Linked DNA regions of Saccharomyces cerevisiae S288C. The protein of the gene in region 1 binds, or shares a complex with, the protein of each later gene. Each region holds a gene or a part of one and is shown in the gene's direction. Other genes may lie near its edges.

Region 1 (3,293 bases):
AACTAAAAACTTGCAATAATAAACAAAAAAAATACAAAATAACGTGGATGTATTAAACCAAAAACAAAATAAGACAACTCTAAAGCTGTCAAACAGAGATCTAACGGATTGAACCATGTCCAAAGTAATGAAACCCAGCAACGGAAAAGGTTCTAGAAAGAGTTCAAAAGCAGCCACACCTGATACTAAAAATTTCTTTCATGCAAAGAAAAAGGATCCGGTGAACCAAGATAAAGCAAATAATGCTTCTCAAATTACGCCAACAGTGCCACATTCTCATCCATCAGATATGGTTATCCCTGACCATTTAGCCGAATTGATTCCTGAGCTGTATTCTTTCCAACAACTGGTGGATTCCGAGAAAAGATTAGATCATTTTATTCATCTGCGAAACTTACATATGAAGCGAATGGTTGCGCAGTGGGAGAGGTCAAAGCTATCCCAAGAGTTTCTTTATCCTCATTTAAATTTTCCAAATGTAAAATTTCTCCGAATCTTCATTTCAAATGTTAGTGAAAACCAACCCTGGCAAATGGACACAAACAATGAGGCTGACCTTATGGCACTGGAGAATGCCACTTGGACGATGAGAATCGAAGGTCGATTATTGGACAATGTGCAAGCTAATGATCCAGCAAGAGAAAAATTTAGCTCATTCATAGAATCGATAGTGGTAGACTTCAAAAATAAGGAAAACGATAATGTGCCATCGACTAAATTTAATGCGGCCCCTGAAGAAAATGCCACCGAAGGACCCAGTGATAAGAAATTGAACTTAAACTTACCGTTACAATTTTCACTGCCGAATGGTGACAACTCTACTACGACTAATACCGACCAAAATAATGCCACGATGGGGGAGGAGACTGCCAAAAAGGATATGAGTTCTACAACTCCAAAACTAGAATCAGTGAAATGGCAGTATGACCCGAATAATCCTGTAGACTTCGATGGTCTCGATATTAAGAGGGTAGGGTCTGAAAATGTAGAATGCACTATAAGCATCCTGCGAAAATCATCCCCAGAAGAGCCATTTATGAGCTACTCTCCACAACTAACCGCAATAATAGGATTGAAGAGCGGTACATCACATGATGCAATATTTTCCATATATAAATACATCCATTTAAATGAATTGCTTACCAATGATGAGTCTGCATTCGAAAATTTGATGGGCAACAGGAACAATCACAATAGCAACACCAGTACTAGTAAGATGCTTGATGCAGCCTCCAGTCAAGTTTCTATTGTAAAATTAGACACTCAGCTTATTACCTTATTACCCAGCAGTCTTAAAGAATCTTCTCCAGATACAATGAAATTAACGGATTTACTGTCCCTTATTAATAGTACTCACCTGCTCCCATTACAGCCAATTGAAATTGATTACACAGTACGCGTTGATAAAGCTTCCACTTATGGTGAGTTGGTTCTTGATATTGAAGTACCTGATGTCAACGCTCTAAAATTCAATAATACACAAAGAGAAAGTCAAATTGGGGCTGCTGAATTGAATGAAAATGCCAGGGAATTGGAACAAATCAAACCCAAGATAGCTTTACAGGACAAAGAAATAACGTCCGTTCTCTCGAATCTACACGAGAGCAACAAACGATACCGTTTCTTCAAGAAAATTAGTGAGGACCCAGTTAAAGCATTAAATGAATGCATTGCTTCTACCTCGAATGCTTTGAAAGTTTTATCGGGAGATGAGGGCTATAATGAAGATATGGTAAGGCGGGCTAACTTTTACAAGGAAAATGAAGCTATGTTGCGCGAGAATATAGAAGTCATATTATCAAATGGACGAATGTAGGCTTCTTTACATTGATACACAATAGACTGAAGATTTATGTAGTTTTCTTTGTATATAAACTCTAGATAGGAAAAGAAAGGTCACCATTCATTTATAATAATTAAAGACGAACAGACAATGCTGATTTGTTTATAGCGCCTACAAGTAATGGCGGCTGTCTGATTCCATTGTCTCTTTCTAAGAAAAGCGCTGAAAATTTTCTACTGGAAATTTCAGAATATGAAAAAGTAGTAGAGATGAGGGCCACTTAAACACAATAAGCATATAAGGAACCAAGGGAAAAGCAACAAATGAGTGCTAACAATGGTGTCACTGGCAAACTCTCTAGTAGAGTCATGAATATGAAGTTTATGAAATTTGGTAAGACGGATGACGAAGAGAGTTCCAACTCCAATACGCCGTCTAATATCAACTCAGATGTGGAACCTATAGAGCAGAAAGGTAAACTCTTTGGTCTGGATGACTCAGCGTGGGACCTCAATAGCTACAAAGATGATTTAAAAAAAATTTCAGGTAAGGAGAAGAAAAAGGTGAAAAGAGTAGTATATAAGAAGCGACCCAATCTCATAATCTCCAACGTTGGTTACAGTGAACTGCGAAAACCTGAGGGTGTGATAAGTGGGAGAAAAACCTTTGGCGATAATTCTGATGATAGTGGTTCCAGGAAGAGAAAGTTTGATGAAGGCGAACAAAATGAAGACGAGAAAAGGGATGCTAAGGATAAGGAATTTACAGGGAGCCAAGACGATGGAGAGGATGAATATGACCTAGATAAATTATTTAAGGATAGCATCAAAAAGAAAAAGACCAACCATAATGGTAAAAATAAAAATAGAAATTCAAAAAAGTAGCGCAGACAATGCACCAGCAGAAGTACGTATTCGTATATAATAATGAGAACATAATATAAAGCATTGTGTAGTATTTTTTTCGTATTTGTCATAAACCATAAGGACTGCCGTCCTTTCTATTACGCTCAATTCCAAAACATATACAAAAACATGTAAATACACCACTTCTAATTTATCAGATAAATCTCTATCATCAATATCATTGAGATCGTTTTTGTATCTTTGCGTTTTTTTTCATAGCTTGAGTGTCGTCACTCTCCTTTTCGCTACTTCATTATTGCTACCTCATAACTTTCTCTCAAGCTCAAGCATCATCTATTTCTCGAAAAGTTGCGTTGGTGATCTCAAACTCTGCCCCTCCAGTATTAATAATGTTACTTTCAGTACATAAGACTTCAGTTCCATTCACAGAACTCGTCTCATGCACGCCATGCACTTTTATGGAATCTACGCTAGGTACAGATGTTTTTGTACCGTGGTTGCCAAACAAAGTTGTTTGATGTAAGTCTTCATCAACTACGTAGGGCGAAGAGATGGTGTCTCTTTTCGTTAGAAAATTGTCCTTCGCGTAATTGAAAAGCATGGAATGCAAATTGTGCTTATAGGAGAACTGTAAAATGTAAGAA
Region 2 (2,838 bases), on another chromosome or scaffold:
AGAAGAAGAAGAAGAAGAAAAAGAAGTAAACGCTCCCGAATACGAGAATGTTAATAAGACGAAGGACCAGAGCACCCTACCACAAGAAAAACCAGAGGAAAGGAAAGAACAGGACGAGGGCGACGGGCAGGAGGATAATGAATTTATTCCGACTTTCACCAAGGAAATTGGTCAAGGTACAATAAGCAACACTGAGACGTTAAGAAACCTATTCAACCCCAACGAGGCAGAACCTGTATCACAATTCAAATTGATTGAAGATTCTGATAATGATATTGATCATGCGAAAGATGTTGATGTGAACCAACTGGAGGAAGAAGTAAGTAAATCATCTGACACCCTAGGTTTGACATCGGCTCCCGTACCACATGTATCTAGAGATAAAGATAACAAAAATTTCTTGTTTTTCCCTCATTTGCAATCGCCATTTTTAGTAGGACAAACACAGTTGAGTAAAGTAAGGGCTCCTGGAAGAGAAACAATGCTATCGAACTGGGATGAGGAGTTCTGGGCTAACAGAGGTAATTGGACCCGTGATATGAGGCGCAAAATGAAAGATGCATTGAAGCACCGTAAGAGGAAACAATCAAAGAGCGGGCTTCTTCTATAGTGAGTATATATACATATATAGTATAGATTTCTCTGCGCTTATTCAAAAAGCATTTTTACCGAACTTAACAGCCATTTCCACTGCTGCAGCACCCCAATCTTCACCATGGTTGTGCATGGAGTGCGCTTCATCGATGCCAGCTCTGGCCAGGGCTTGTTCTTCAGTCATGCAAGTTAAGAGGCCAAAAATGACGGGCATGTCGACTTTTTCTTGTAAGTTCATCAATGCGTGAGTGGTGGAATCTGAAATGTATTCAAAGTGCATTGTACTACCTTTGATAAGTACACCAATAGGAATTACAACATCTAGCGGCTTTCCCAACTTCGCTTGTCTGTCAACAAACCTTTTTGTCCCCCAAGGTAATTCATAGGATCCAGGAACAGTTTCAATTATTATGTTATTTTCCTCGACACCAAGGGAAGCCATTCTTTCAATAGCACCTTTCACAAGAGCGTCAATAATGACACGGTTCCAACGGGCATGAATGATACCGACCCTGATTTTGGAACCGTCATAAACTTGATCTGGTTTGCCTAATCCTTTAACTGCCATACTGCGTTATACTGCGTTATACTGCGTTATACTGCGTTATACTGTTCCTTTTCATGCTTTTGAACCCACTCTCTGGGGCAATATTTCATTGTTCTCTTTTATATGGCTACTTTTCTCTTATTAACGGGGACCTCCGAAAATATCTCCGCTCCCAGAATATGTCATAGAGCCTTAAGAATTGACCTACGGGAACCTCCGAAAACCTCCCAGAGTTTTAATTATACGTCATAGAACCCCAGACCTCTTCGATGAAGTTTCGTGGAAACTAGTTCCATCCACCTCACTTAAAGTTACCTTAATGAAAGCCATCATTGTTTACTAGTAAGGGTAGTGGTGTGACCCGGACCTGATCGGCTGAAATTTTTTGGTTTAGAGAAGCATATTAAACCAACAGCACAAACGGATGCTTCAGCAGCTCATCTCCAGCATTTCGACTAACCAAGAGCATACAAGATGTCTACGTTCATATTCCCTGGTGATAGCTTTCCTGTAGACCCTACTACACCTGTTAAACTGGGCCCTGGCATATATTGTGACCCCAATACTCAAGAAATACGACCTGTTAATACAGGTGTTTTGCATGTTTCCGCTAAGGGTAAGAGTGGTGTTCAGACCGCATATATAGACTATTCTAGTAAGAGATACATTCCATCTGTAAACGATTTTGTAATCGGTGTCATTATAGGGACATTTTCAGATAGCTATAAGGTTTCGTTGCAAAATTTCTCCTCCAGTGTTTCACTATCGTATATGGCTTTTCCCAATGCTTCAAAGAAAAACAGGCCAACTTTGCAAGTGGGAGATCTAGTGTATGCGAGAGTTTGTACCGCAGAAAAGGAACTAGAAGCCGAAATAGAATGTTTTGACTCAACTACAGGACGCGATGCTGGTTTCGGGATATTGGAAGATGGTATGATCATTGACGTGAATTTGAATTTCGCACGCCAGTTGCTTTTCAATAATGACTTCCCGTTATTAAAAGTGTTGGCTGCACATACCAAGTTTGAAGTCGCCATTGGTCTCAATGGGAAGATCTGGGTTAAGTGCGAGGAATTATCTAACACTTTAGCTTGTTATAGAACCATAATGGAGTGTTGTCAAAAAAACGACACGGCAGCGTTCAAGGATATAGCAAAAAGACAGTTTAAAGAAATACTTACGGTCAAGGAGGAGTAGACTACCATGTATAATTAAAATATATAAACACATAGATATCATCAATATTTCACGTCCTTTTTTAATGTCCTTTGAAAAAGCGAAGGAAAAAAAGTTTCATCTCATCTCATCTCATCACATCTAACATATGGCCATAAAATTTCGACAACTATAGTGCACATATCTAATACGATGAAGAATCTGACCACTATAAAGCAAACGAACAAGAATGTCAAACAAGAAAGACGTAAAAAGTACGCTGATTTGGCGATTCAAGGCACAAATAACTCCTCAATTGCTTCTAAAAGATCGGTAGAGTTATTGTATTTGCCAAAACTGAGTTCGGCTAATAATTTCCAAATGGATAAGAATAATAAACTGTTGGAATATTTTAAATTCTTTGTTCCTAAGAAAATTAAAAGATCTCCCTGTATTAACAGAGGTTATTGGTTGAGGTTATTTGCCATCAGGTCAAGATTGAACTCCATCATTGAACAAACGCCACAGGATAAAAAGATAGT

Evidence for each region.
Region 2: the proteins of MPP6 (region 1) and RRP40 are in contact, whole or in part, in a crystal structure (PDB 5OKZ), measured with the Saccharomyces cerevisiae proteins. Residues at the interface, in NP_014421.3 of Saccharomyces cerevisiae: Ile109 (codon at 2,431), Ser110 (codon at 2,434), Gly111 (codon at 2,437), Arg112 (codon at 2,440), Lys113 (codon at 2,443), Thr114 (codon at 2,446), Phe115 (codon at 2,449), Gly116 (codon at 2,452), Asp117 (codon at 2,455); in NP_014499.2 of Saccharomyces cerevisiae: Phe71 (codon at 1,826), Tyr120 (codon at 1,973), Gly146 (codon at 2,051), Gly148 (codon at 2,057), Ile149 (codon at 2,060), Leu150 (codon at 2,063), Leu167 (codon at 2,114), Phe168 (codon at 2,117), Leu175 (codon at 2,138), Ala179 (codon at 2,150), Thr182 (codon at 2,159), Lys183 (codon at 2,162), Phe184 (codon at 2,165), Glu185 (codon at 2,168), Val186 (codon at 2,171), Ala187 (codon at 2,174), Ile188 (codon at 2,177), Trp195 (codon at 2,198).

Annotation. Positions count from the first base shown.
Region 1 is NC_001146.8:670,303-673,595, forward strand, and holds MPP6 (Mpp6p), read left to right. Parts: upstream 1-2,106; coding exon 2,107-2,667; downstream 2,668-3,293. Other genes in the region: SNF12 (Snf12p), read left to right, coding at 116-1,816; Sar family guanine nucleotide exchange factor SEC12, read right to left, coding at 2,972-3,293. UniProt on the Saccharomyces cerevisiae protein: RNA-binding protein that associates with the RNA exosome complex. Involved in surveillance of pre-rRNAs and pre-mRNAs, and the degradation of cryptic non-coding RNAs (ncRNA) derived from intergenic regions and the ribosomal DNA spacer heterochromatin.
Region 2 is NC_001147.6:53,943-56,780, forward strand, and holds RRP40 (exosome non-catalytic core subunit RRP40), read left to right. Parts: upstream 1-1,615; coding exon 1,616-2,338; downstream 2,339-2,838. Other genes in the region: NOP8 (Nop8p), read left to right, coding at 1-610; lumazine synthase RIB4, read right to left, coding at 653-1,162; tRNA methyltransferase PPM2, read left to right, coding at 2,510-2,838. UniProt on the Saccharomyces cerevisiae protein: Non-catalytic component of the RNA exosome complex which has 3'->5' exoribonuclease activity and participates in a multitude of cellular RNA processing and degradation events.